Linked DNA regions of Mus musculus: all the other regions are reported to be linked to region 1. Evidence: microRNA targets listed by miRTarBase, many of them from high-throughput screens and not tested one by one. Region 1 holds a microRNA gene; each other region holds the end of a gene's coding sequence. Distances are between the middles of the regions.
What was found. The annotated mature microRNA mmu-miR-466f reads ACGUGUGUGUGCAUGUGCAUGU and lies in region 1 at 1,475-1,496, opposite strand. An mRNA with a match to its seed (bases 2 to 7 or 8) in the 3' UTR can be bound and repressed. Matches are read on the target gene's strand: a 7mer-m8 pairs with bases 2 to 8, a 7mer-A1 pairs with bases 2 to 7 and ends in A, and an 8mer does both.

Region 2: miRTarBase lists Kank2 as a target of mmu-miR-466f. Seed matches in the 3' UTR shown: 7mer-m8 at 1,274-1,280.
Region 3: miRTarBase lists Ceacam1 as a target of mmu-miR-466f. Seed matches in the 3' UTR shown: 7mer-m8 at 470-476.
Region 4: the mRNA of Rfx3 is a reported target of mmu-miR-466f. Seed matches in the 3' UTR shown: 7mer-m8 at 2,486-2,492 and 7mer-A1 at 315-321.
Region 5: the mRNA of Zfand2a is a reported target of mmu-miR-466f. Seed matches in the 3' UTR shown: 8mer at 4,022-4,029.
Region 6: the mRNA of Mcidas is a reported target of mmu-miR-466f. Seed matches in the 3' UTR shown: 7mer-m8 at 4,371-4,377 and 7mer-m8 at 3,461-3,467.

The regions. Positions count from the first base shown.
Region 1 is chr13:71,103,514-71,108,603 of GRCm38, reverse strand. It overlaps Mir466f-4 (microRNA 466f-4), which reads right to left and starts at 1,515; the gene lies at 1,395-1,515. Gm40997 (a long non-coding RNA gene) reads left to right here and starts at 2,177. Exons shown (of 3, transcript XR_873655.1): 1 at 2,177-2,256.
Region 2 is chr9:21,764,435-21,769,524 of GRCm38, reverse strand. It overlaps Kank2 (KN motif and ankyrin repeat domains 2), which reads left to right. Exons shown (of 12, transcript NM_145611.4): 12 at 521-2,752. The coding sequence ends at 574. Among named protein-coding and RNA genes, the nearest start is that of Spc24, 6.7 kb to the right of the region's middle.
Region 3 is chr7:25,459,076-25,464,165 of GRCm38, reverse strand. Ceacam1 (carcinoembryonic antigen-related cell adhesion molecule 1) reads left to right here. Exons shown (of 9, transcript NM_001039185.1): 9 at 266-2,464. The coding sequence ends at 385. The region is part of intron 4 of 4732471J01Rik (RIKEN cDNA 4732471J01 gene); the gene reads right to left. Among named protein-coding and RNA genes, the nearest start is that of Ceacam1, 16 kb to the left of the region's middle.
Region 4 is chr19:27,764,279-27,769,368 of GRCm38, forward strand. Rfx3 (regulatory factor X, 3 (influences HLA class II expression)) reads right to left here. Exons shown (of 17, transcript NM_011265.3): 17 at 1-4,415. The coding sequence ends at 4,177. Among named protein-coding and RNA genes, the nearest start is that of Gm35697, 98 kb to the left of the region's middle.
Region 5 is chr5:139,469,048-139,474,137 of GRCm38, forward strand. It overlaps Zfand2a (zinc finger, AN1-type domain 2A), which reads right to left. Exons shown (of 7, transcript NM_001159908.1): 6 at 4,683-4,748; 7 at 2,169-4,507. The coding sequence ends at 4,492. Among named protein-coding and RNA genes, the nearest start is that of 3110082I17Rik, 11 kb to the left of the region's middle.
Region 6 is chr13:112,998,816-113,003,815 of GRCm38, reverse strand. It overlaps Mcidas (multiciliate differentiation and DNA synthesis associated cell cycle protein), which reads right to left. Exons shown (of 7, transcript NM_001037914.3): 7 at 3,422-5,000. The coding sequence ends at 4,632. Among named protein-coding and RNA genes, the nearest start is that of Mcidas, 7.4 kb to the right of the region's middle.

The DNA.
Region 1 (5,090 bases):
CCACCACATCATGAGGACATGTACTAAAGGGTCGCAGTTGTTAGGAAAATTGAGAGCCGCGGTTCTGCTCTAAGGGAAAAGCAGGCAAATGCTGGTAAAGAACTGGTGGGGTCATGAGCTGGAGCAGCCACTATGAACTCAGTGGAAGTAAGAGTTTGTCGTTCATGTGATCCTGCTGTGCCCTTCTGGGCATACAGCCAACGAGTGAAGATCAGCCTACCACACATACCTGCATGGGCAATCGCTGACTCATGCGGCCAATCCAGGCATCCATCAACAGATGAGGCTACAGAAAAGACTCAGTGGAGTTTCACTCAATCATGTAGCATGCAGTCAGGATGTCTGCAGGAAAATGTCTAAAGGTGGAGATCATAGCAACGCTAAGTGAAACAAGCCAGTCATCACAGACAGGCTCTCTGTCTTTTTGTATGTGCACATGTGCACATAACAGGAGTAACAAACGGATGTGAAGCAGGAGAGGAAAACCCTGTGAATGTGTAAGCGGAAGAGAGTGCGAGAAACAAACCCAGAAGAGGGTGGGTGTGCCACAGCGCTTTGTGTCACATGAGCGAAAGCTATAATGAAACCTCTCGCTCTGTACAGTCGCTGTGTGCTCATGAGAGACGCATTCACAGACACACACGCCTACAGCTGATTTTTGATAGGGCAGCAAAGACAGGGTAGGCATGTCAGGCTCATCTGTCAACAACAGGGTTCAATAAAACAGCTTCAAACTGTACCTGAAAGAACTTGCGAAAATTGACCCACTGGGGCCCAATATAACAATGAAATATAAAACTAGAAGGAAGTGTCAGATACTTTATGATATAGGTCTAGATTAAAATGCGATGTAAAAATTACAAGTCAGGGGCTGGGGCGATGGCTCAGTTGGGAAAGTGAGTGTCCTCGAGTCTGAGGACCAATGTTGTGATCTCCAGCACCATTCAGAAGTCAGGCATGGCGGCCCATCTGTAACATTAGCTCTGAGTGGTACTGGGAGGAGCGATGCTGGGGCCTCCTGTCAGCCAGTCTTGATATGGGTGAAGAGCAGGTTCTCTGAGACTCCAATTCATAAAAACAAATAGAAAGAGACAGAGGAAGACACCCAGGGTCTGACCTATACCCATTTACAAATACATGGAGACACTCACACACACACACACACACACACACACACACACGCACACACACACACACACACACGATCACATGCACACACACGCATGCACACACACAGTCACATACAGGGATACACACATGCACACATACATGCACATACACAGATACACACATGCACATGTGCATACAACATACAGAAATATACCCATATACATACACATGCCGACACATGCACATACACTCACATACAGAAACACACACTCACATACATACACATATGCACATTCACACACAAGTAGACACACAGATATAGATGCACACACATGCATGCACACACTCACATACAGATACACACACATGCACATGCACACACACGTAGACACACAGATGCAGATGCACACACTCACATACAGATACACTCACATACACAGATACACACATACATGGATGAACAGATACAGAGATACATACACACACACAGATAAACAGGATGACAGACACACCTACACACACACAATGTTAACCACAGCTTCATGGGCACTGGCAAACAGAATCTTGCACTTGGCCATGAGGACATGGGTGGGCATTTACTGTTCAAACGTGGATGGATATAAAATATCAAAATGAGGGCTCTGAGCAACAGGAGTTAGAGAAACAGGATGCTTATTTAATTAGTTGTAACAAGATGTTGCAACTCTACTTCAGTAGCTGTAAACACCCTGCATTCCCCCTGGAAAACATCAGGAGCTGAGGGAGAGGACTTAGCACGTAATGTGATTGGATCATACGTTTGTTTATTAGGCCCAGTCTCAGAAATGAGGATGTATGTCAATCAAAACCTAGCATTGAACAGGACATACTTTGCACATTTTCTGTTAAGGAGGCCTGTGATGGTTTGAGTATGCTTGACCCGAGGAGTAGCACTATTAGGAGATGTGCCCTTGTTGGAGCAGGCGTGGCCTTGTTGGAGGAAGTGTGTCACTGTGTGGGTGGGCTTTGAGTCACTCCTCCTAGCTGCCTGGAAGACTGGTCTTCTAGCATCCTTCAGAATAAGGTATGTTCCTTCTCCAGCGCCATGCCTCTCTGGATGCTGCCATGCTTCCTGCTGCGATGATAATGGACTGAAGCTCTAAACCTGTAAGCCAGCCCCAATTAAATGTCCTTTAAAAGGGTTGCCTTGGCCGTGGTGTCTCTTTACAGCAATGGGAAGACAAGGGCTCACTGAGACTTATTTTTCAAGTCCCGTTGAGATCTCTGTCTACCCCAGACCCTTCCTGAAGTGTTTATTTGTCCTTAGATTTCCATGACCCTCCCGTCTGCATGAAGGTTTTTTTTGTTACCTTTGAGTGATGGGCATAATTTATCAGAAGCTACGAGGACTGCTCGATACTGGGGAAATGCCCCTGCTCGCTGCTCGAGACATGGTTCTGCCCATTGGCACAATAGCTGTGTTGTTGGGGCTGCCTGGGTTTTGCCTGGAGTGATGTGTTTAATAAGGAGGAAGGCACTATCCGCATTTTAGTTTGTGTTTTAGGGACAAGTCTCAGGTGGCAGAGACTGTCTCAAATTCATATAGAGTCCAAGACTACAAAAGGCCCCTGTCTCCCCACCGACCCTACCCAAAGAAAAATAAAAACACAGAAAACTTAAGGCCAACGTTCTCCAGAGGAAGGACTTGCAGCGCATCTGGATTGTTTTAATTTTATTTTATTTTATTTTTTCCTGTTACCACTCCCCTTAAATAAATCTCAGGTTTAAGGAGGTTACTCAGGAGGTCAGATCCACTGTTCTGTCTTTGAAGTTGGGATTCCCCCGACTTCAGCAATGCTGTTCACGGTTCAGGTATGAGAAGGGTTTTAAGGGAACTTCACTCTAGAGACTTCTAGCTCTCAAGCGCAAGTTGCCTGCTCCGTAATCAGCTTTGCCATCTGACTGCTGTATCAGAAGGTATTCACTTAGCAGTAATTAAGAGGAAAAGCTGATTTTTATTGGTTCCAACTGTTAAAGAATGTTTGCCTCGCACCCTGGCAGCTGCGGTGCACCAACGGGGCAAAGGCTGTCTTCGGCTGCCACCTAGCGTCCGCCTTCGGAAGCACGGACACTGTTTCCCCTTCGCTGAGGCCAGCAAAGGGGTCTGTGAAATTCCCCGCTGCTCACAAAGGAAAAATGATTTCCCTAAAAGCCACAGTGCTTTTTAGAGACCTTGGCCGCGGTCCAATTTAGCTTTACAGTAGGGGGGAGAGGCAAGAAGAGAAATGAGCCGTTTGATTTTGTGTTGCTGAATGTATTTTAATAAAGATTTTGAATGCATGTTTTAAGTAAATTCCCAGGCGCTGCAGGGCAGCTGGACATCACGAGAGGAAGAGGAGCTAGTGTAATCCAGAGGAACCCAAGTCACAATTACAGCGTTCACTCTTTCCTCATTTACAGTTCATGAAGGAAGCAGTGCCGTCTCGCTTATTTCATTGTTCATCTGTCTTCTAAATTCGAGTATTAGAGCATCGAGCCACTCTGAGGACGAAAAAGAAAGCAGGCACGTTAGGAAAGCCCCCAAATGTTCTGAAGCACCAGGGAAACCAAACGATTGCTCCCAAACAGCCCGTGAAATTGTCACAATTACCTCCCGAAACCACAGGGTTCTCCACGTTATTTTTCTCTCTTCCCAGCTGACTCAGAAGGAAAAGATCCAGGGATCTCTCTCAATTTAAACTGCAGGGTGGGAGGAGGCTGTCCCGGCGTGGTGCAACTGCTCTGTGAAGGATCTAACTTCAAGGCACCCGTGGCCTGTGACCCGGAGAAGGAGTTTGCAAAGTCCTAAGCCTAATTTCCAAATTTTGCACTTGAGAAAGCGGAAGCTCTCAGGAGCTGAGCATCTCTGGGCGATTACACAGCTGGTTAGAGCCGGAGCAGGCTTCTCACTGGGGTGTGCTCTCCCCTTCACTGCCTTCTCTCAACTCAATATTAATATTTATGTGCCCTATGCATGAACATACTCTGCCACATCCTACAAGACAAACATACACCTTCTAGGAGTTGGAGGGAATACGTTCTCTCACACATGCACATAGAGGAAAGCAAAGCATCCCAGCTTATAAAACTGTCTGGATTTAGAACAGATCATATCTAAAGCACCATCATGATTTCTGTGTTCTAGAACCCGAGTGTTTTCAAGATGTTTGAACAGTTCAGGGACCTTTTGCTCTGGCAATAGATTCTTCACTACAAGTATAATATATATTTAATAATATTAATATATGACAAAGATTCAAGATTTATATATATATATATGTATATATATATATATATACATACACACACACACACACACACACACACAGAGAGAGAGAGAGAGAGAGAGAGAGAGAGAGGTATATACATCCATAGGGAAATTCAGACATTAGGGCAAATTATTAATTAAATGTTCTCCTGTGTTCTAATATTTTCCATAAGAATACATGTTTAAAGTCTGAACAATTTTAATAGTAAAAGTAATTGGTAATATTGTACTGAGCCAATCCTAGTCTACTATTACTATAATTTTATAACAGTTTAAAGTGTCTCAGAGTCTATCCCTGACTCCCCCCATGAACCGCTCTCTCTCTCTCTCTCTCTCTCTCTCTCTCTCTCTTTCCCTCTCGGCCATCTATCTCCCACACTGTTCTGGCAGCCTAGTCAGATGAGCTCTGGTACCTGCTGCTAAGGCTTCCATTTTCTCACAGGAAGTATTAGATTACAGAGAGCCTAAGATTGTGTGTGTGTGTGCGTATGTACACACACACACACACACACACATATATATACATATATATATATATATGTATATATATATATATAATGTATGTCTAAATATGGCACTTAAATTGGTTACAGAAAATTCATTTTCTTTTTCTTGGTACATTCTGCTGCTCTTCATTTTACAGTTGGCATTGTTAGATAAATCTCATGATTTCCTTGGATTTCTCCTATAATTT
Region 2 (5,090 bases), not on the chromosome of region 1:
CTCTTGAACCCTCTGCATTAACATTCAATTGCTTAAAACATTATTTTGGGTTTTGTTTGCTTTTCAAGGTAAGTACATTTCACTATATTATGATCCTCCTCCAGCTGGGGTGTGAGTTTGGGCAGGCCAGGATTACACTGTGAGATCCTATCATCTGTGTGTATATATGGAGGGGGAGTGGGCCACTGTCCACCCCCACCCCCATCCCATTTACTAAGTGGCTGGGATCACTTGACAGACTTTCTCAAGGCCCTCCAGTCCTATCTCCAGATAGAGCCTCTGCCCTGGCCCTTCTCCCAGGCGCTCTCCTTGATCCTGGTGCAGGGGTCTCCCTCTCTTGTTCCTGGACTCCGCTTTGATTCCTTCCTCTGCCTTCTCTCTACAAGAACAGGGTGACAGTCTGTCACTGTGTCTGGTGTGTTGGAAGGCAGGGACTACCCTTCTTCCCTCTGCATCCACAGCAAATCTCCTCAGAGGGATTTGAAAGTATGCCAAGAAAGAATTCTGCCTATCGTTACAGTTCGCTCCCATGTCAGACTACGAGAGTCCGGCTTCGTCTTCAGCCGAGGAGTGAATACAGGGAGGAGCCAGTGAGTCCCCCAGGACCCACCAGCCACAAGCCACGCATCAAACCGTCCCTCCTCCATCCCTCTGTCCCATTCTGCCTCGGCATTCCTCAGCCCCTGAACTTCCCTGAGGGAGCCCTGACATCTACCAGGCTCAAGCTCCTGGAAGCCTTTCCCAGCACCCTGGGTTCAAAGCCAGAAAGCCAAGCTACATTCTCCTCCCAGTTGGCACCAGTTGACAACGCCTTGGGTGTGGGTTTCTTGTAAAGAACATAGAGAACAATCAGCCGGCAATTATGGGAGGAGGAAGGGGGGGCAAGAAGAGAAAATACTGTATTCTTGAGTCATTGTTAGGGGATGGGAGGGGTCAGAATTCAGTTGCTAAATTTGAATGTCACTGGAATGTTACAGTGTCTATTGTCTCCTCATCTTTACAGCAGGTCTCCACAAAGCCTGCTCACCACCCTTTGTCACCTCATTTCATTGTCTAGTGTACAATAGGGTCTTGTCCACTGCCCTCCACCTCCAGACTGTGTCTTCAGGGCCTGGGGTGTCTCTTGTGATTGCTTTACAGAATAAGATTGCCGTACCTTAGCCGCCTGCCTCCAGTCAGAAAGCAGTGTTTTCATTTGCCTTTTTCCTTTCTCTCTCTCTCTCTCTCTCTCTCTCACACACACACACACACACACACACACACACACACACACACACACGCACGCGCGCGCGCGCACACATGCACAGGGCTTGTCATCTTGCAGCTGATAGCTGATGTCCTGTGACTTGGAAATGACCAACTTACAAGAAGTTATGCTGACCTCCCTGTTCCCCACGGGGAGTGCTTGGCAGAGGAGACTACTTCTAGAAATACTTTCAGACCTACAGACAAAAAAGAAAAAAGGCCATTCCGGAGTGACTCCCAGCATCACAGCCCAGAACCTCCTCCTCAAAGGAGAGTAAACAGAGACTGTGATACTGACCAAGTACAGGCGCTCGCTATGAAGCCCATATGTTCCTGATTAAGAGCTGGCTGGCCTCAGAGCACTCCCAGAACTAGCTTAAAGTGACAGGCTTTGCTGAAATCCAAAGGGACAAAAGAGTAGTTTTATGTTTGTGTGTTTGTTTTTAATGCCCTGGAGCTCCTGCTGGTGACAGGAGAGACAGACAGGCTGCACCTTTCTCTAACTGGGGTTCCTTTCTGGCCCCAGGATCTCAGTGTGGTTCGTGGGGGGATTTTGTTGTTGTTTCTTTGTTTCTTTTCTTCATAAAGAAGAAAAAGGAAACAACTTCTAGATGTGCCTTGCGATAGGGAGGACTTTGTCCTCTCAAGTCTCCCTGTCGTATCCAGATCACAGCTGAACCCACTGGGCCTTGGCGCCAAACCTCAGCAGGGCAGCATTGAGACTCATGGACTAAAGGAAAGTGTTCACTCTTCTAGACAAGTGGGTCTCTTGGTTTGATGGAGTCTTACTCCGCTTGAGTTTTGTAGAAGGGGTTTGTCTAAGGCATAGAGGCTTGGTTGGCATAAGAAAATAAGATGGACAGATGGATGGGTGGATGGATGGATGGCTGATTGAGTGGGTGGGTGGGTGGATGGATGCATAAATGAATAGATGGATGGATGAATGAACAGATAGATGAATGGATGGATGGACAGGTGGGTGGATGGATGGGTGGACGGATGAGTGTGGGGTGGGTGGATGGATAAATGAGCAATGGATGAGAAACTGGGTTGGCTGGTGGGTAGATGTCATGATGGAGTCTTTGCACGTGTATGAAACAGAAAACCAAACTTCAGGACAGACAGCTGCTGGTGTCTCTGGATGCTCACAGCCTAGGGCACATTTGAAAGGTCGTGCTCTGAGCTGAGCCCTGAGTTCCAGCCTTGTAGCCAGCAAGGGAGTTTATTTAAGGTTCTGGAAGCATCAGCTATGACCCAAAGCACACGCTCCTCAGAAAAGCCCCTGTTTCTGTCGCTGCTGCTTTCTGTTTCTCTGTCGGGGCCACCAGGGCCAAACACCCACCAGTCTCTCCTCTCCTTCCCGCTATACTCCAGTTTTCTTTCTACTCTGTGACCACGGTACATCCATGAAGACAGTGTTACACGTAAATGAAGTATTCTTTTCTTGTAATCATATTTTAGAAAGTAAAAGGACTTAATAAAGCTACAAATAAAAACATTGCCTCGTGTCTGTTTGTTCTCCTTCTTTTTAGGCTAGCCTTGAACTCCTGATCCTCCTGCCTTCCATCTCCCAAGTGCTGGGATGACAGGCACGCACCTCCACACCAGGCTTTCTTCCCTAGGAGGATGAAAGCCGGGGCCTTGGGCATGCTAGACAACCACTCTGATAGCTGAGCGCCAGCCTCAGCCTGGATCTCTGGTTGCTTAGCACGTACTTTTGTGCAGCAATTGCATGCACAAGGGGACAGTGCCATGCAGCTCAGGAAGACTCGAGACGCACGGTCCAGCCTTCTCCAAGCAGCAAGAACTTCTACCAGCTCCACCAAATTCTGGGAACGGAACTTGGGCCCTCTAAAGAGCAGCATGCTACACGGTCCTACCTGAGCCATCTCTCCAGCCCCACTCTATTGAGTCATTTATTTTAGTTAAACACGGGCTCATTTAGTCCAGGCTGCCTTGAACTGCTGACCCTCCTGCCTCAGCCTCAAGCATGGGGATTACAGGCGAGCCTGCACCACCAGGTGAAGATCCCTAGTTCCTGCTCATTATTGTTTTCAAGTTTTGTTTCATTTTGGTTTGGGGGCGGGGGGGGGGGGGGGGGGCATTGTTTGTTTTGTTTTGTGTTTTGATCTTTCGAGACAGGGTTTCTCTGAGTTCTCTGTTCTCCCTCTCTCCCTCTCTCCCTCTCTCCCTCTCTCTCTCTCTCTCTCTCTCTCTCTCTGTGTGTGTGTGTGTGTGTGTGTGTGTGTGTGTGTGTGTGTGTGCCTGGAAGTGAAAAGAGATCCTGTTCCCCTGGAACTACTGGAACTAGCAATACAGACCTCTGTGGGCTGGGACTTAAACCCAGGTCCTCTTCAAGAACAACCAAGGCTCTTAGCCCCTGAGCCACCTCTCCATCCTCACACTTGTCCGGTTAAGGTGGTGCTGAGGATGGACCCCAGACTTTGATGAGCTAGGCAAGCGCTCTGCCAGCTGAGCCGAATCCCCAGCCCTGCTGTAATTATCTCTTTGTTTTGTGTGGCAGCATGTCACGATGTGGTATGGAGCTCAGGTCAGTCAACCTTGGTGGTGCCTTTTCCCACAGAGCCATCTCACCAGCTCCAATGCCCCCTTTAAAACAAACAAACAGGGCTGGTGAGATGGCTCAGTGGGTAAGAGCACCCGACTGCTCTTCCGAAGGTCCGGAGTTCAAATCCCAGCAACCACATGGTGGCTCACAACCATCTGTAACAAGATCTGACGCCCTCTTCTGGAGTGTCTGAAGACAGCTACAGTGTACTTACATATAATAAATAAATAAATCTTAAAAAAACAAACAAACAAACATACAAACAAACATAAACACACTGGCTGCTCTTCCAGAATACTCCCTGGGGTTCAATTCCTAGCACCCACCTGGTAGCTTGAAACTGCCTGTGACTCCAGCTACCCCAGTGCCTTCTGACTTCCTGGGTATGAGGCAGGCATGAACTGCACAGACATAAATCCAAAAATTTTTTTTTTTTTAAAGATTTATTTATTTATTTATTTATTTATTTATTTATTATATGTAAGTACACTGTAGCTATCTTCAGATGCACCAGAAGAGGTCATCAGATCTCATTACGGGTGGTTGTGAGCCACTATGTGGTTGCTGGGATTTGAACTTCGGACCTTTGGAAGAGCAGTCGGGTGCTCTTACCCACTGAGCCATCTCACCAGCCCAAATCCAAAAATTTTTAAATGTTTATTTTATGTGTATAAATGTTTTGTCTTGAGGCCGGGCGTGGTGGCGCACGCCTTTAATCCCAGCACTCGGGAGGCAGAGGCAGGCAGATTTCTGAGTTCTAGGCCAGCCTGGTCTACAGAGTAAGTTCCAGGACAGCCACGGTTACACAGAGAAACCCTGTCTCGAAAAACCACAAAAAAAAAAAAAAAAAAAAAGTTTTGTCTTTCTGTGTGTTTGTGCACCTTGTGCATGCCAGGTACCTATGAAGGCCAGAAGAGGGCATCAGATCCCCTGGAGTGAGAGTTACAGACAATGGTGAGATGCCAACTCTGGTGGGTTCTAGGTCTTGCATAAGAATAAATGCTTTTAACCACTGAGCCACATCTCTAGCCCATAACATTTTTTATGAAATGGAAAAAAATCCATATGTATACAAAGTCCACATATCATTAAATTGTCCATTTCATTTTTTCCTTTTGGTGCTAAGAGTGACTAGTGCATAGGAGCTCACACAAGCTAGACACGGGCTCTACCCTGAGACCCAGTTCCATCACCGGCACCATTTGAAGTACCTAGTTCAGTGGCATTTAGCTCATTCACTGTGTTGTGCAACCATCTCCAAAACTACTCAGCTTGC
Region 3 (5,090 bases), not on the chromosome of region 1:
AGAGTGCTTTAAGTCATAAGGACACTTTCACAGTGGGAACTTTCACAAACCTGTCCTCCTCCCCAGACACACATTGCTGTCACATTTCCTACAGAGGGCAAAGGCAGTCTGACAGTGCACATCCTCGCACACATCTGGCTTTCATTCTGCTCTGTAGCCCATCTGGATGTCTGACTGTGAGTGACAGGAGCCCTCTCCCACCGCTGCAGCAAGGTGAGGCTCAGGCCTGTGGTGCTGAGTCACTGATCAACTCTCATCCTTTCAGGTGGATGACGTCGCATACACTGTCCTGAACTTCAATTCCCAGCAACCCAACCGGCCAACTTCAGCCCCTTCTTCTCCAAGAGCCACAGAAACAGTTTATTCAGAAGTAAAAAAGAAGTGAGCATAATCTGTCCGTCTGTCCTGCTGGCTGCACCAGTGATGCATTCCCGGATTCTGTTCCTCACTGGAGGGTCTCAGCACACACACACACGTACACATGCGCGCGCGCACACACACACACACACACACACACACACACTTACACACACACTCATGCATTCACTCTATTGACTCCTTCAGTGTCTATAGAAGAAAAGGTGGATCCTGGAGCCTACAGAAAACTCAACCCTTCTAGGCTTTCAAATTTGGCTGAGAGTGAGGTATCAAAATTTCTCACCCTTTCACTTTCCTGACCCAGATTGTTGAAAATTGACCTATTCAGAGCACCTTCATTCCCCTCCCAACTCCAAGTCCTGCCCTATCAGAGTCTGACTTGAATTTCCATAAACCTTGGAGGTCACCTAAGTGCTTACGCCAAACAAAACAAAACAAAACAAAACAAAACAAAACAAAACAAAACAAAACAAACCAGAAGCAGGAAATGGCCAGTCCCATATCTTTAAAGGCTGATTGGAAGCCACCATACATGAGAAGATCAAACCTCCATGGGCAATCTACACACCCGACAACTGTCATGCTTACCCATCTGGGACATTCGAGTCTCTGAACCTTGTGCCCTCACGCCTGAGCCCTTCTCTGAGCCTTTCTCCAGAAAATCCACTCACAGCAACTAGAGAGGCTCTTTGTCAGCAACTCCAAGCAAACTGCTAGGCAGGATTCAGAAGAAAAGACAGCATCTCTAACATCCACCAGGAAGGTGCCCAGAAAAGCAGAGCTGGTGACTTTGGACTGACAGACATCTGGAGTGTGAAAAAGCAGCACAGAGCTAACCTTCGGAGAGTGTTGAAATTATTTGAAAAGAAGCCATATTTGGAGGTATTGGAGTTTTCCTCTTTCTGAGACAATCCACTATTTGAAAATTGTAGCTACTGAATTGCCTCTCAGTATGCGAGCTGATCACTTTGCCTTAGGGCCACTAGATTTCTGTCTCCCTTAGCCCCTCAAGCCCTTTTGATCATGAGTTCCAAACCAAAAATAAATAAATGAACAGTGAGGCAGTCCCTTGCAGTACCACTGTCATGGGTCAGGCTAAGCCTCCTGCTTTTCTGAATTAGTCAAGAAAAGCCTTGGTTTCCCTTTTTCCATCTCTTTATCTTGTCTTTCAGATACTGGCCAGAGCCTGGACACTCTTCCTCTGAGATCTCCAGCTTCTCTGCCTTCTTGTGTTTCTTTTAAACTCTAACAAAAACTGTTCTCACCTTCAAAAAATAAAATAATAACAAGCTTTCCACATCCCCACCAAAGAGGGACCCAGCTAGGTTTCTGGAAACCCAGCACCAGCCTCCAGCTGCCCTTCTGCAGTGTTTCTGCCTCTGTTTCCCTTTCGTTTTGACTTTTTTCCTTCTTTTGAGACAGAGTTCCAGCATGGAGCCTGTGCAGGTTTCAATCCCACAGTAACACCTTCTGCAGCACCCCACCTGCTCAGACTGCAGCCCTGGCCACCAGGCCTGGCTACCTGGACATTCTGTCTGCCCTGCACTCTCAGGAAACCTTGGCCTCTGCTACTGTCTGTTTGGCTCATTCAAAGTGTGTCCTTAAAGGAATGCAGTCACCCATGCCAGAGGCAGTGTTTACAGCCTGGAATGCTCTGCACTTCCAGTGGACCAGTGCTCCACCGGAAGTGGGCTGTTAGCAGGGTCCTCTCACCTGGCCCTGGCCTTTCTGTAGCCTTGAATCCTGCCTTCCCCACCAGGGCACCAGGGATGAGTGCAGCAGCAGGAGGAGAGGCAAACAGTCACCTCAGGAACCTTCTGAGCTAAGGCACACCCTCTGTGCCTGTCAAGCAAAGGTTGTATTGGATATCAAGTGTTTGGTCTCACGCCAAGCCAACAGGCTTTGGAGAGAATTAATTAGTTCTCCTACTCAGGGATTTCTTTCAGTCCTAACACAGCCTGTGTATATTTTGCTTCACCCACGCAATGCTGGATTATTTAATTTTGCCCGGCTTAAGACAAATCTGAGTTACTTGTAAATTTGCTCTATGTTCATAATAAAAATGTATTATATATCACTGATAGCACTTTGTGGGGTTTTCTGTCTATTTGTTTCTGGTTTTGCCATGCTTTGGATGGAAGCCAGGGTCTTGCATGTGCCAGACACACGCTCTACAACTGAGAAACTGACACAGAATACTAACAAGAAGGGAACAGGAGGTGCTGGAGAGAGTTCAGGGGGAGGGAACATGTGGAGTTGTTTGTGAGTTGAAAGCTGCATTATTGCCTTTGAGTGTCTGGAGCCACTTGGGTGGGAGGAGTGGTTTACTGTGGTGGAATCCCCAAGGCTTCAGCCACTCAAAGGCAGTACTGCAGCCCTCAACTCAGAACAATCTCCACACTGAACTCTCTCCAGAACCTCCTGTTCCTTTCTTGTTACTACGCCCTGTCTGTCCTCTTAAACCTCTGACCTGAATGAGTTGCACAAATTAATGCCATTGAGTGTTACTCTATCATTTCATGTCCTTCATTTGCAAGCCATGCAAATGCAAGTGTGGCCTGCCCTTCCCCACCCCATTTCCACACCCGAGACACTGGAGGCAGCGCAGACTGCACTGGGATGGGGTCAAAGGTGTGCTAGCCTCACATTGAGTTTTCCATCATCTCAGACCTCGGTCAGAGATGCTGCATCCACCACCAACAACATATTGCCCTGATGCCAGTCAGTTCTCAGATGCTTTCGGTGTCCCCTAACCCACCCTCCGCTCAGCTCGAAGATCTCAGCCAATGGCTGTTGCATGTATTTCTCAAGCCCCTACCTCCTCCTGGAAGTTATAGCACCTGCCTTCAAATAATTTTTCATTTAAAAAGGCTCATGGCCCTCCGCACAATAATTCCTTTATTTTACATTTATTTTATGTGTGTGTTAAAGCTGTTTGTTTTTTAAACAGAGTCTCCCTATATAGCCCTGGCTGACCTGGAACTTCATCTGTAAACCAGGCTTCCCCTAAACTCACAACAATCTGCCTGCTTCTGCCTCCCAAGTGTTTGAATTAAAGACAGGAGCATCAGACTGGGTCCCCTAATGGGTTTTTTTCAACCATACACATATTGTATGTCAAGTATGTTTTCACTTCCCCATCACACCCTCAAGTGATTCCTAAATTCTCATCAGATGTATCCCCTACAACCCGATCCCCTCTAGCCTACGCACACATATAAATCTTCGTCCCAGTGCTGTGCCCAAGACGACAAGCAGCATGCTTCTCCCTTGTGGTTACCCACACCCTTCGTCATAAGCAGTTCCACACTGAGCATCCAAGTGAGGACAATAGATTCAAGCAGGACACAAACTGTGTGTGGTTGACAATGTCTCCCTGATGGCCAATGTATATTTTCATGAAAGATACAGAAATGAGAAGATGGGTCCTTTCTCTAGGGAACAGAAATCCCTAAGACAGAAGACACAGATAATAACAATTATACAAAATTTGAAAGGGACAAATGTCTCAAACAAGACAGAGAAGTTAAGAGCTGAGGGGGCAGCTCAGAGACAAAGCACCTGCCCAGGAGGGTGGGGCTCTGTGTTTGATCCCTAGCACCAAAGGAGTTTACAGAGAAATCTAATGGAAAACAGAAAATATGGCTACATGCTGGAATCATTGAGAAATCTGTTAAAAGTGCTCAGGCCCCATTCACAAACTCTACCTTGTGAGGGCCCCTCTCTGTGTGGTGTCTCCAGGACTGTGTAGGTGGAGAGAAGGTATGAGTGACACCAAGCATATTTCATTCCCTGCTTCCTGAGTGTGGACAGGATGTGACCACCTGCTTCAAGCTCCTCCTACCTTTACCCTCCCACCATGATGGACTTGAGCCATGGGCCAGAATAAACCTTAAGTTGCTTTTCTTGATCTCTTATCACGTCAGTGGGAAAAGAAACTGACAAGGTTCACGATGGAGGCTCCCTGACAGAGTAGGTAGAAGCTGGGCTGTGGCTTTTAGCTAAGGTTGTACATCATTTAGGCAATTTTTTCAACATGCATAAATCTATAGTCCATTCCTGGGGAAGAAGAGACAATATGTTCATGGGACTTGGGTTTGAATATTTTGGAAAACTCTCAAGTGATTCTCACAACCACTGACCATCAGGAAACAGTCGCCTGAAGCGCAGAGATGGAGAAGATTAGAGGGTGAGAGAGAACTCAATGCGACAGCCATAACATGCAAGAGCTGTTGTTCTTCAAGGTGCAAACAGAAAGGTCCTCAGGAAGAAATTGTTGACAGATGACAGATAGCTATGTTTTAAAGACTGACATTACCAAGTGTTGTGAGCAAGGGAATGATTGCCATGCTCACAGTGCTGTGACATTAGGCACTGTATGCTCACAGATATAGCTGTCTCTTGTGAGACTATGCTGGGGCCTAGCAAACACAGAAGTGGATGCTCACAGTCAGCTATTGGATCACAGGGCTCCCAATGGAGGAGCTAGAGAAAGTACCCAAGGAGCTAAAGGGATCTGCAACCCTATAGGTGGAACAACAATATGAACTAACCAGTACCCCCAGAGCTCGTGTCTCTAGCTGCATATGTATCAGAAGATGGCCTAGTCGGCCATCACTGGAAAGAGAGGCCCATTGGACTTGCAAACTTTATATGCCCCAGTACAGGGGAACACCAGGGCCAAAAAGGGGGAGTGGGTGGGTAGGGGAGTG
Region 4 (5,090 bases), not on the chromosome of region 1:
TTCTAATACTAGAACTAAGCGCTGAATCAATGCTTCAGTCCCAGTCTTTTAAAATCACCAGACTCACAGAAATACTAGGGTTCTGTTAATGAGTTTGTTCTACCATGTACATGGAGGTTGTTGCTCTGATCCAGTCACAGCCCGATGTTGAACAACACTGCATTGACAACCTTCCTCCCCCAAACTCTGCTGTGATCCACGGAGATCAGAAAAGTCCTGATTTTAGTTTCTGGATGATCGTGATTTGTTCAAAAGAACTTGAGGAGGGGAGGTTATGACAAAGTCAGTATGTTGTCTATAACCACTGCCTTAACTCGTGTGCAAGCGTAACACGTCAAGCTTTTGACTTTCTACTATGTCCATGCAACGAGGACCATCACAGCGACACACGTGTTTTCTTTCACACAGATGTTTCAAGCACAGCATTATCTTAGACATTTTAAATAATAATATTAATGATAATAATGTGATAATAATCTTTCCAAACTGAAAATGCATTTAGCACTTGTAGAGAGTGTGTCCATGTAAAAAGGCCCAGGACCACAGCATGGGAGCTGTGCTCACTCCTGACTGACGTCTACAGCATTCTGCAAGAATGTGCTCATTCTCGCTCACCTACTACAAATTAAAGGCAGCTAATGTTGCACACTACTAACTTTAGGTATGCAGCGAGAAAACCATTTGTGTATTTTACTTCTGTTTTTAAAGTACACCATCTAAAGAGAGGTGCATGAACCGTGCTATACAGTACAAGGAAAAAAGTCACAAAAAGGAACGCAGATTTCAAAAAAGGCAGTAAGAGTCATACAGTCAAGATTTGGACGCAAGTCCCGAAGTTCTTAGTAACTTGGTAAATCCAAAGGGGAAATATAAAACTGGGCCCTGTGTTCCCAGGAGAAGTTTCACCCATTTCATCCATTGTTCACTGGTTTTGGAAGTGTAGCTCTTTTGGCTATAATTCTCAAAGTATTTGCCGATATAAAACTATACCTATGAGACTCAAGTGTATTACATGGGAATCTCCTCTGAAACGCACTGATAGCTCATGCACCTCCCTTCCCTTCTCTGTACCAGGAGTGTAGTACTTGATTCACATACATGTATTTCAAGACAGGCATTATTATAATGCCAAGAAATACCAGCAAGTCCTTAAAAAGTGTGTTGTGTCAACACGTCTACTACGAGACTGTTGGTGGCTGATATTATTTAGAAAAGCCAGTTTCAATAAATGGAAAAACAGAAACAAAATGTTAAATAACTAAGACAAATGTGATTGTTATAAATTTTGCCTGCACATAAATTACTGTTTTTGTTTTCTAATATAGTTCACAATTCAAATCCAAAATTGATGTGTGCACAATATACTACAAATAGCTAGAAGTATCATAAGCCATGGGTATTCTTTTTTGTGTATTGGTTAGAGCTATCTACACTGGTGTAAAAGGATTAATGTTCCTAAATATTTCTAAAAGTTCAGAATATTTTGGAGTCAATTTCAACCATAACAATACTTGTTAATTTCTACTCTGTCCTAATTTGGAACAAACCATGAACAACTGGAAGAAATGTTGAATTCTGGAGGGCCATTCAGTCCCTCCCTCTCATGAATCTATGTCTGTCAATTGTTAGCTGATTCCTCTCATGATACAAATATCTCCAAAATTAAATTAAATGAAACAATGATACAAATACATTTTAAAAAGTCAACCAATAAACACAGTGAAACCAGTAAATACATTTGGTCCAATACAGACATGATGTCGTCTGGGGTGACAAGGAGGGACAGGAGACTGAAAGACCTCAGGAGGGAGAGGCAAGATGAAGAGAGCTAGTTTATGATTTGAATTTTATGTGTAAACATTTTCTAACTCACAATGAAGTAGGTCCATGGTCTTTTGTAGCTTATGATGGATGATGGAGGGGAGGGGCTTGCAAATTCATTGCCTTGGGATCTTCAGTAATGAAGTAATGCTTGGATGCCAGTGAAGTCTTGTGTGTGAGTAGGTTGATCCATACAAAATCTGAATCCATTAAAATTATATGTAAGACATTTAAATTTCACTTAAGAAATGCTGTTGATTTTCAGAAGTTTGAGACAATCAGGCAATAACAGTTTCAATAGACTGTGTTTCCTGATAAGCCATTTGCTATTTTTAACTTTCCAGATTGGCACAGTCTCTTCTCCTTAACTATACCCCTCACCCAATCCAACTGGAAAGATGAAGTCTTCAGCTTAACATGGCCTCAGTAGTGATCTGTGTGTCATTTTGTGCTTTCCTTTCCATTTTTTGGCTTTATTGACTTAATTCCTTATTGACTTGCACTGATTTAATTTTATAATTACTTAAATGAAAGGCTATGCCCCATGTTGTTGCTGCTGTTGACAGCTTGAGTTAAAAGAACCTTGGCTTTTCATGCAAAGTAAAATGGGATGAGCTGTGCTCTTTAGGATCTCACCTTCTGACTGTAGCAGACTCCAGTTCCACGTGTGTGTGTGTGTGTGTGTGTGTGTGTGTGTGTGTATGTATGTGTGTGTTTGTGTGTACACAGAGACACCCAGACACACAGACAGACATTTAGACTGAAAAGATGCACTTCAATAAGTACCTGCTAATCCTGTTAACTTTCTAGAATTATAGCTAAATAAGAATGGTCTACAACACATGATCTTTATGTAACATGTTTGGATGAAAACTGCTAGTCCACACCCTTAGCAATCTGATTTGTTATAAAGTGATATTCAGCTCCAAGGATAAAACCTAGACAAGTCCACTCACAGTCCCTCAGAGAGAAACTGAAGTTTTTGTCTCTTTGTTTTGCTTAATTTCCCCTAAATTCCCCTTGAAGAACATGTGACCTGTCTTTACTTCAGGAATCTGAGCATGACAGGCACACGTTACCGAATGGATTGAAGAGTTATTCACACAAACAAAATAAACCTTACTAAACCTTAGCTCAGTTCTGTTTTAAGGCACCATGTAATAGCCGAGGTACGATGATCCCTGATGTACGTTCTCCAATGGCAATGGTCCATCCAGCCACCTATCCAAATCCTACAGAGTCGGGGTCAGCAACAGTGAGGTGTGCCAGTCACACTGCCTTCAGGTTCTGTGTAAAATTTAAATCCATGTATTTTAGAAACCAGGAAATAACAATATGCAGGTCGCTACATTCCTTGCATTCTATACATTTTCTTTTATAATAGCAGCATATTGAACTACTATTAGAAAAAAGACCTGGAATAAAAGAAAGTCATCCAAATGGAATGGTTTCCTGTATGTCCAGCTCAGTATAAGTAGCATGTACACTTAAAAAAAAAGTCAAGTCATTTTTTCAGCTGCAGTATCTAACTATAACAGCCCCACTTAACAGCAGAATGCATCTGTACAGTGGTTCCAATACAGAATCAGTAGTCTTTAAACAGAGGAATTGGTACACAAATAATAGTTAAAAGTCAATGTCTAACGGAAGCTTGCATTGTTAACGTGGTTTAATAATTATGTACACAAATTATGTACATATTAGCATAATCTCTTGCAATTCTGTCATTTATCCTGAACTGATAAATGCACAGCTCAATTTTTTTCAGAGAAAAATAGATGACCTTCCCAACCCTCTACCACTATAATAAAAACGCTCTGTATTCTCTCCATACTCCAAAATGTTATCAAAATAGTGTCTTATGGTTCTGTCCAATGAAAAGCACCTTTCAGAAGCAAATTTGATGCATCTGCTGCCAAATGGGCATGCCTCCAGTGTAAATCAAAGAAATTCATTTCTTTTGATATTTCACAGAAGTGCATCTAATTAAAAAACTTACACATAAAATCATACACCAAGACTAACAATCAACAATAAAATATTTTAAGCTACAAAATGTAAATTACTTTTTAATTATGAGAAAACAAAAACAATGACATTAAGTGTTGTATAAATCCTTCTTGACACCTGAAACTAAGGGGGGAGGGGCTCTATTATTAAAAGGCAAATAATTTGTGTTAAAAAAAAAAAGACCTGGAAAAATACATACACCCATTCCATTTCACAACTCCAAAAAGGTAATGTTCAGCACAGATAGACTTTTGACAACAGTCAACCTTCAGGCTTGTTAAAATTTCAGCTTAAGCCCAGTATCAATGGGGTTAGAGTAAGCTGGAAAACTCTGCTTTCCTGCTGTTAGACTGCAGTGTAGGTGTTGCCTGTGGCGCTGCACTGCCTGATGGTCTGTGTACTTGTGACGATGTGCTCGCTGTGTAGGGGGTTCAGGAGGCTGGGCTGCACAGCACTCTCCAGAACAGGCTGCATGCAGCCTACTGGGAACGCCTGGCTCAGCTCCGTTTTCTCCCTTTTGGCCCGAGGCTCTGAAGAATCATCCAGATCTTCATCCGTCTCACTTTCGACTTCGCTGCCTTCATCTGCACAGACAGAGACCAGCAGGAGACAAAAGAGAAACAGACGTCAGTGCACGCTGCCGTACCGGCTCAGTGCGCCAGCTCGCTCTGAGACCTCCGTGCTCCCTACGGGAGGACTCATAGGCTTTCCTCTCATGGGAATTTATATCCATCAGTGCCATAGTGAGAAATCCACAATTCTTTTAGATGTCTGGAAATTTATATATAATTTCTGTATTAAATAATGGCATAATTTGTTGCATCATAAAGGAGTCACTTGGGGGTGGGGGCACACACACAAATCTACACCGACTACGTTCTTTCCTCGATGACTTACTGCAGCTGGGCCTGTGCCATCCCAGAGGAACTACTGCAGTATGACTTGTGATATCACTATTGTATAACAATTGCTGTACAGATAGCAAACACCAAATTGAATAAATTCTTAATTCATATGCTAAGAAAAAAGCTATAATGAAGTGGTAATGTGAGATTTAAAAATGGCACAAAGGACTTGTTTCTTGGCAGGATTAATACCATAAGTAATTGCAATTCATTCCTAGAAATTAAACATATAATACATTTACTTTTACTACCAAATTTTAAAAAGCACACAAAACTTCACATTTCACTTGTAGCCTTGGGAAGCCCGAGGATTAGGGGTAAACAGAACCAGCTGAGCCCCATCAGAAAGGTGAT
Region 5 (5,090 bases), not on the chromosome of region 1:
CTACTGGGCTGTGCCCACTGATACAGTGTCTGGGCAGTCCTGTCAGCAGCAACAGGGATAGGGTTCCATTCTGTTAATTTGTAGCAGCCCAAGGAATTTCTTTAAATCTTTTTTATTTCCATTTTTAAAAAAAATTGTGTGCTTTTTCTCTTTTTTTAAGATTTATTATTATATGTAAGTACACGATAGCTGTACGTATACACTATACGCACCAGAAGAGGGCACCAGATCTCATTATGGGTGGTTGTGAGCCACCATGTGGTTGCTGGGATTTGAACTCAGGATCTTGGGAAGAGCAGTCAGTGCTCTTACCCACTGAGCCATCTCACCAGCGCCCCCCCCTTAAGATTTATTGTTTATATATGTAAGTACACTGTAGCTGTCTTCAAACATATCAGGAGAGGGTGCCAGATCCCATTACAGATGGTTGTGAGCCATCATATGGTTTCTGGGTTTGAACTCAGGACCTCCAGAAGAGCAGTCGGTGCTCTTAACCGCTGAGTCAACTCTCGCCCCAGCCCTGCTCACTCAGGCCCAAGTGCGTGCCTTTTCAGAACAGGGCTTCTCCTGACCTGAAACTTGATTTATAGATCAGGCTGGCCTTGAACTCACAAAGATCCGCTTGCCTCCGCTTCCCAAACGCTGAGATTAAAGGCATGCACCACCATTTATATATAATTTTAGGTATATGAGTGTTTTCTGCATGCTGTGTACCTTGGCATGCAGTGCTTGCAGAGACCAGAGGAGGGCATCAATTTCTCCAGAACTGGAATCTCAGATGGTTGCTAGCCATCATGTGGGTGCTGGGATTCGAACCTCTAGAAGAGCAGCCAGTGCTCAGAGCCATCTTTCCAGCCCCAAATTTCTTTAAATCTTTTAGGGACCTTGATTCAGGTAAAACCAGATCTTAGGCTTCAATGCAGAAAAGTATCTCAGGACAAGCCGATGAGAAGCAGAGTTTATCAAAAGTAGAAAGTGGGCTGGAGGCTGAAGCTGCTCACTTGCCCAGCCTGGGTGAAACCATGGGTTCCATCACCAGCACTTCTTAGTGGTAGAAGGCAGGCAGATCTCTGTGAGCTCAGAGGCCACCCCGTCTATATAGAGTTCTATGCCAGCTATGGATAATGAGACACTGTACCAAAACAACAATAAAAACAAAAAGGAAGCCGGGCAGTGGTGGTGATTTCTGAGTTCGAGGCCAGCCTGGTCTATAGAGTGAGTTCCAGGACGGCCAGGACTACACAGAGAAACCCTGTCTTGAAAGAACAAACAGGGGCTGGTGAGATGGCTCAGTGGGTAAGAGCACCCGACTGCTCTTCCGAAGGTCAGGAGTTCAAATCCCAGCAACCACATGGTGGCTCACAACCATCCGTAACAAGATCTGACTCCCTCTTCTGGAGTGTCTGAAGACAGCTACAGTGTACTTACATATAATAAATAAATAAATCTTTAAAAAAAAAAAAAAAAAAAAAAAAAAAAAAAAGAAAGAACAAACAAATGAACAAAAAACAAAAAACAAAAAGGGAAGTCACCAAAGCAAATAAGGAACTGCACAAGAGTGTGAGCAGCTGAGGACAGAGAATCTCACTGGAGGGGGAACTGCTAAGTCCTTTCTTTAAAAAGCACATGGAGCTTTGATGCTCAGAGGGCAAAGTGATCACCACACAAGTGTGAGGACCAGAGTTCAAATCCCCAATCTCACAAAAGTCAGGAAGCACGGCAGCTTTCCAGTAATCAGCACGCAGGAGGTAGAGACAGGGGCTCCTGGAGCTAGCTGCAGCCGCAAGCCCTGGGTTCAGCGAGTCTCTGCCTTAGCTTACAAGGGGAAAGCGACCAAGGACGACACTGAAGGTTATTCTCAGGCCTCCACATTTACGTGTACACCTGTGCCCCTACATGTACAAACATGCAAACACACCTGCACTACACACACAAAATGCAGACCTTGAAAAGAATTATCCATATTTTCTAAGAAAAGTTGGCCTCTGCATGAACAAAGTACACATACACAAGCAAAACACACACACAAATGAAACAAGCGGAGAGTGGTGGTGCACGCCTTTGATCCTAGGTATAGACAGAAAATCTGAGTTCAAGGCCAGCCTGGTCTACATAGTTGAGATCCAGGATAGTGAGGGTTATTTAGAGAAACTGTCTAGAATAAAAAATGGGTGAAATAAATAATTTTTATTAACCATTATACATAAGATATTTCAACACACAATGTCTTGCATTTGATATTGTCTCTAAAGCCTGGTGATTTTGCTTCCTTGCAGTAGGGAGAGAATCTGAGGCCTGATGACATGACAGGCAGGTACTCCACTAAACCAGGCCCGAGGGGTTCTTGGCAAGTGCTCTTCTATTGAATTGTGGCCCCAGCTCCTCACTGGTGGGCTCTGGGTAAGGGTTAACCCACAACGCTAGGCTCTAACCTTTGCCACTGTACTTCCGAATTCATGTTTAAGAACATGGGCATGTGAGTGCAAGGCCCAGAGCTCAGAGGCATCATTTGCCCCTGGAGCTGAGGTTAACACATAGTTGTGAGCCATCTAATATGGGTGGTGCTGGGAACCAAACTCTGGTCCTCTGCAGAGAGGTTCAGGCTCCTAATCACTGGACCATTCCCCAGCCCGCCCAGTGTGCTTTTAATTTCCAACTTAGAGTCATCTCAGTGGAAACACTATTGCATACCATGGTTAGGACGGAGACGTATATATCCAACTCCCCTTTTAAACACTGCCTAATTATTGAACCCAGTAGTTTTAAAACTTAAGTTGAATCAAAAGCTTTGTTATGCTAGCTATACCTCAAGTGTGTACCACCATGAAAGAGTGCTGGGAAGTGGAAGTACAAAAGATTGGTTTGTCTCAATGTCCCCACATAGCACCACTGCCTAGACCTTGTTCTAAAAGCAAATACCCCCCCAGCCCCCCACCCCCCGATCTAACCAGGCACTGGGGCCAGGATGAGTGCACCGATGAGTCTAGAGCTGGACTGATGTGACGAGAGGCACTGGCTTAGAGAACAGAGTGAGTAGAACCCACCCCTGCCTCCCATGACAGCTAGAGGCCACGAACCCTGCACAAAGCTGCTATGTATGGAATTCATGCAGTTAACTGTCCCAAAGGCTGTCAGAACTAAGGGCGAAAGTCAAAACCCGCTGGGTGGTTGGTCCCATGTCATCTCTAATAGCCAAGCTCCTGGAAAGTGAGGGTAAACGCTTATACAGGTCACCAGAGTACCCCAAGCATCTTCCCCTACACTGCCATGGCCATTTGGGGGTAGACATGGTTCAGGCCACACAGGTGGCACAGGAGTGATGGTGGCTGCACCCCAAGGCCCAGAACCACTGCTTTTCTTCTGTCTGGGTTTCTGCTCCACAAAGTGCTGAGGACACCCTCAGCCTGCTGCCATGGGGATTCGGCACGAAGAGGAGAAGCTTCTATGGCAAAACCAGACATTTCTGAAATGGCTCTCATTTCTTGGTGCTCTTCTTGGGAGTTAAAAGTGAATCCACGCTTGGGAGGCAGAGTCAGGGGGATCACTGAGTTCAAGGCCAGTGTGGTCTACAGGGTGAGTTCCATGACAGCCAGGGCTCCACAGTGAGACACTGCCTCAAACCACAAAACAGCCTGAAGCCAGGCATGCGGAGTCCTGGCATGGTGAGGCTGGTTGCTTAAGTCAACCTTGGAGACATCACTGCAGGCCAAGTGCACACCCTTCCTCCATAGCATCCCCAGCCAGAGGTAAGGAAAGGGCACCCCGTCCACTCTTGTTCTTGGGGACCATGAGTAGACTGTGCCCAAAGGCACCTTATTACAAAAGCCATGGAGGGGAGAATACAGAGCAGACGGTGGTTCTTTTCTGTCACAGGACAGAATTTTCTGGAATACCAAGTCCTGGAGAGGTTTAGCACAGGCCAAAGCCACCACTGAGGAGAGTTAAGCAAGTCCTCAGGCCTTGAACCCTGCAGCTGTTTGCTATGGTAACCTAACCCACCCCAAGAAGTTGCTGGACAGCCTCGTGTGTGTGTGTGTGTGTGTGTGTGTGTGTGTGTGTGTGTGTGTGTGTGTATACACAAGTGGGTGTGTGGGTGTGGGTGTGAGGCCAGAGGTGAACTTCTGATGTCCCTCCACAGAAAGTGTCCACCTTGGTTTTTGAGGCAGCGTCTTTCTGGCCTGGAACTTTCCAATATGGCTAGGCTGCTGGTCAGAAAGCCCTGGAGATTTTCCTCTCACCACCTCCCAAGTGCTGAGATGACAAGTGTACACCAGTCACATCCAGTTCTGGGGATGAACTCAGGTCCTCATGCCTGTGGGGCAAGTGCTTTCCCCACTGAGCCATCAATTCACCGTAACTTGAACAGTCAATGGGAGACTCTTCTATAAAGACTCAGATGCAGAAGAAGCAGGAAAAGTGTTGGAGGACACGTCCCAAGATCAAAATCCAACAGGAAGGAGCTGGTGTGTGGCACCCACAGGAGACTCGCTGTCACTTCACTGTGCGCCTGGAAGAGACAGAATCCGTGAGTGACCACACATGTCAGAACTACCTAGAAGAGGTCTGTCATGAGAAACAGCCTTAGAGGAAACACAGGACATTCTAAAAATAGCTACTGTGGCCAGCTCTGGCCTTTCTTATGGAAGCACAGCCTGAGTCTCACATGCCATTGGGACTAGTACCTGAGCCGCTGGGCCAGCCAACTGACTCCCGATGGCTTCTGCTCAGCAGCTCTGGATGTAGAAGTCCTACAGAGAAAGTCAGATTTACAGTTATTCAACTTTCTTACCACATCAAGAGAGCCCACCCACTCATGTCTATGCACTTAGATAGTTGGGCTCCAGCCCGGATCACATACAGACAGTTTGAGAAGGTTAACTGAATTAAAAAGTATCTTAGCTGTCCTCTGACCTCCATATGCATGCCACAGCGCATGTGTATACTCTTGCCCCCAATGCAAGATTAAAAATAAATGGTGACTTAAGGGGTGGTAGACAGCTCAGTGGACACCTGCACAAGCCCGAGGACGCGTCTGAACTCCTGGCACCGTGTAAAGGTCAGGTGCTAGTGAGTATCTGCAATCCCAGGGG
Region 6 (5,000 bases), 42 Mb from region 1:
CACAATAGTCACAAATAATATAAAATACCTTGGTGTGACTCTAACTAAGGAAGTGAAAGATCTGTATGATAAGAACTTCAAGTCTCTGAAGAAAGAAATTGAAGAAGATCTCAGAAGTAGGAAAGATCTCCCATGCTCATGGATTGGCAGGATCAATATAGTAAAAATGGCTACCTTGCCAAAAGCAATCTACAGATTCAATGCAATCCCCATCAAAATTCCAACCCAATTCTTCACTGAGATGGAAAGGGCAATTTGCAAATTCATCTGGAAAAATTAAAAAAACCTAGGATAGCAAAGACTATTCTCAACAATAAAGGAACCTCTGGTGGAATTACCAGAAAAGACATGAATAAACATAAACGTTTAAAAAACAAACAATCAAAAAAAAAAAAAAAAAAAACAGATGCCGGGCTTGGTGGCGCACACCTTTAATCCCAGCACTCAGGAGGCAGAGGCAGGTGGATTTCTGAGTTTGAGGTCAGCCTGGTGTACAAAGTGAGTTCCAGGACAGCCAGGACTACACAGAGAAAACCCTGTCTCGAGAAAAACAAAACCAACCAACCAAACAAACAAACAAAACCAAAGATGCAGAAGTAAATGCACATGTGTGCAGGTTCGTTCATGTGTGTTCACATATGATGATGAAGGGCCACAGGAGGGAGGGAGGAGATCTTAGATAAGGAAGCGGGCAGAGGAGTGCATGTGATAGGAAAGCAGAACCTAGGATTATTTGCAGGTCGGAAGGAAACCAGTAAGAGAAGAGGGTGGGAGATGTGTGGGGGACGAATAAAAACAGGACACAACAACCTGTATGAAAATGCCATAATAAAACCCATCAGTTTGCAAGCTAACTTTAAATTTTCACTTATTGTTATTAAAATGTAACTATAACTGGGTGTGGTGGTGTGTGTCTTAAATCCCAGCCCTCAGCTGGGTAGGGGGGCAGAGAAAAGTGGAGCTGTGTGAGTTCAGGCCAGGCACGTCTACACAGGGAGTTGAGGCCAGGCATGTCTACACAGGGAGTTCCAAGCTGGCCAGGGATATTCAATAAGACTATCTAAACAAACAAACAGACAAACAAACAAAACAAAACAAAAACAAAAAACTACATAGTTTAGTGAATCCTTGCCTAACATGCAGGGAAGGCCTCGACCTCCACCACTGAGGTAAAGTTAAGGTGGTCATGTGACTCTTCAGCAGGAGGATGCCCCTAATGAATTGACTCAGGATGATCCCAAAGTCTTCTCAAGGTCCTGAGAGGCCGTGCTAATCCTCCACTCAGAGCCTAGCCCTGTGTTCTCTCAGCCCGAGTCCCACTAGCAGCCTACTGCTCACCAAACCAGACGGTTACATATCCTTTTCCCTCTGCTTAGAATACTCTCCACCCAGATATGCATACCGTTCACTCGCAAGCTTACTCCGGTCTCTGCTGAAGTTGTCTCTTGTTACGATTTGATGGCAGATCTGGGAACCAAATCGCTGACCCCAACCAAGCTTGCCAGACAAACACTGTACAGACTGATCCATAACAGAAGCCCTCCAATATTACCTTATTAGAGGAATCTTTTATGACCAGACCACCTCATCTAAAATAGCACCATCCCAGTCTTCCCCAAATCGCCATCTGCTGTGGACTCAATACCTAGGCCTCCCCCAAATTCCTATGTTTAAGTAAGTCTTAGTTCCCAGTGTGATTGTATTTGGAGATTGGGAGGAGGGAGCGGTGTGGTGTAACATCAGTAGTGGGGTTAGAGCTCTTCTAGGAAAAGACTGGAACTCTCGCAGCCCTGTGATCTTTCCAGTGAGCAAATGATGATCTTCAAACCAAGAAAGGGAGCCTGTGGAACCACCTTGATCTTGAACTTTCAGACCCAGAACTGTGAAATATCTGTTTAGATGGCTCAGCGGTTAAGAGCACTGACTGCTCTTTCTAAGGTCCTGAGTTCAAATCCCAGCAACCACATGATGGCTCACAACCATCCGTAATGAGACCTGATGCCCTCTTCTGATGTGTCTGAAGAGAGCTATAGTGTACTTAGATATAGTAATAAATAAATCTTAAAAAAAAACAATCTAACAAAATAAAACAGAAACATTTGTTGCTCGTGCTCCCCGCCTATCCTGTACTGCAGCCTGAGCTGAGACCACCCCCTTGTCCTTTTTCATGTCCTTGCCAGCACTTGAATTGTTTGTCACATATGTATCTCTGCCTAGAAAAGAAATTACATATTCTGCTCTTTGATTGTTTTCTTAGAATGTGAGATAAAGAGATTGCCATCAGTTTTCAATAAATATGTTAGAAGACTAGTTTCTAGATTCTACTGTTAACTGATGATAAGTTGGTCCCTGGTGCCAATTGTTCCAAAGAGAGCTTTTTTTTCCCACAAGAATGAAAGATAATTGGACTTGATGGGTTTTATAGAAGAGGAGGAGGAAGACAGAGTTAAAATGGGGTAAGGAGTGGGGGTGGATCTCAGTGGAGTTAGGGAGGAATAGGAAGTGAATTTGATAAAAAATACATTGTATAAATATCAATTTCTAAAAACAAATAAAATATGTACTTTTTAAAATAGCAGGAAATGGAGCTGCTGGCCACTAGCATGGCAGTTATAGAACTGTAAAGTGAAAGGTGATAGCAAGGTGATTATTTAAAATCTACGCACAGGGCATAAAAGAAACTTACATACACTGTCTGTAGTTTATGGCCACTGAAGGTAATGCATTACGAGTATCAGAGAGCAGGAGAGCCATTGTTCGTTGTGACAGATTTAAAAGGATTTGTTTTTTATTTTGAAGCTTGTTTTGTTTGATCTTGACCTGTGCTAACTGCATATTTGAGCCTATGGGGGGGGGGGAGCTGAACAACCCACGTTTTCAGTCCATTTGTTAGGCAAAATATGAGGAAACATGGTCTATTTTATCAATTTTTTTTGTTTCGAAATGGCTATTTAAGTACAGATAACAGTACACACGGCAAACTGGAGGAGCAGGTCTTGCTGCCTTAACCAACCCACCTGCTACCTGATCTGTGCACTCAGCCTGAAGAGCCAGCTATGCACTGTGGTGCAGTACATCTGGAGGCCTGCCCAGCCCAGCCCCAGGAGCAGGAAGAACCCTCAGAACGAGCATGTGGAGGTTGAGAGAAATCGCACAGGACGTCCTCCATTTGTGTGATTTCAGAACAGAGTGTGGGGTGGGAAGAGAACCACAAACAATAGGGAGAGAAAAATTGAGGGAAGGTCACTACATTTTGCTTACAAGAACTAGTCATGTAATGTGAAATATGGTGAGGGGCCCCCAGTTTGCGGAGTACAGACCACTTGCTTAAAACAACCAGCCTTTCTTCTTAACTAAGTTGGTTTGGAGGTGGTTCTGTTTGCACTGATAAAGCTGAATACATTGAGACATTACCATAAATCCTTTTGTAAAGAATTTTACTTATGTGACTGTGCCTGTGCGTGTGTGTGTGTGTGTGTGTGTGTGTGTGTGTAGCTCCGGAGTATACAGATGCCCACAGAAACCAGAAGAGGATGATGTCAGATAACCACACCCCCACCCCAGGACTGGAGTTTCTTTCCCATTTGAGCCATTGATATGGATGCTGGCTGGGTTCTGAAGTCCAAGCCCTCTCCAAAAGCAGCAAGCACGCAAACCAACTCTTACAAAATCATAGGATGATTATTTCAAACAACTGTGTTTAGCACCTATCCTGCATCAGCATTTGCCTAATTGTGTAGCTTTGCTTGGTTTTGTTTCTTTGCTATTTAAGACAGGGTTTCTCTGCATAGCTTTGGCTGTCCTGGAACTCACTCTGTAGACCAGGCTGGCCTGGAACTCAGAGATCCGCCTGCCTCTGCCTCCCAAGTGCTGGGATGACCACTGCATCCTTGTGTGAGCTTGCTCCACAACTGCCAAGTTGTTTCCGGAGTTTTGGTGGTGGTGGTTTTTTGTTTGTTTTTGTTTTTTCCAACTGAAATAGCATTTTCCAGTAGTTAACACAGCTAGGAGGTAGGTGTACTCTGAGGACAGAGGGGAATTGGGTGATGTGCCAAAACACCCAGATACCGGGGTTCTGAATCCCAAGCCTTTAAATGGCTGTGATTGGATAATTCCTCTCTAGTGGAACCCCCCATCATTCCTTTGCACTGTTCTCTCTTCTTACAAAAAGGCTAAAACAGTCAAATATGGCGGTGAGCACCTCTAACCCAGCACTCAGGAGATGGAAGCAGAAGGAAACAGAAGCAATCATAATAGCAAGTCTGTGTCCAGCTGCTCTATGTGCCTCCTGGACCTGCCTCAAACAAACAAAGCGCTAAAAAATAAATACATCTAAGTTTGACTGTGGCGTGTGCTTAGCCGCAGGTGTGCGTGTGTATACACGCAATTTCACCGTGCAAAAGCAAGCAGTATATGGGGCTTCGGAGCAGAACTTTTCATTGCACAGGTACCAAGACACTTCTGTTTCTGAAAAAAAAAAAAAATATATAATAAAGTTTCCGAGTAGCGTTTGCTTGCAGAGAATTCTGGGAACCAGATGTGGGAAACATTTCTAGCTATGCCCACTTGCTTGCAGACGCTTCTCTCTGCTGTTACACAGGGCAGTATTTTAGGGGAAGCCACATCCCAGATCAGCTGGGGACCCAGCGGAATTTGTAACCACCGGTGACTGTCCGGATGGTGAAGGCTTTGCCCTGGGGGAAAGCCAGGGTGCGGATGGTACTGTGGCTGCGGATGGGCGTGCTGAAGGAGCCGCCTTCCTCCAGCTCACTGTGACTCAGATTCACCGAGCTGGCGCTGCAGTCGGTGCGCAGTCCTCGGAAGGCGCCGTGGAGGTTCCTGGAGCTGCAGTCCTTGCTGTCTGGCTCTGGCTGCAGCCTGGGCCGCTTAGGGTCACGATTGTGCAGGGCTTCCTCGCAGCGCTGGGAGATGTCTCTGAGGATGGCGTCCACTTCCGCGCAACCCTGCCCTGCTTGCCCCGCAGCACAGAACAGCTCCTC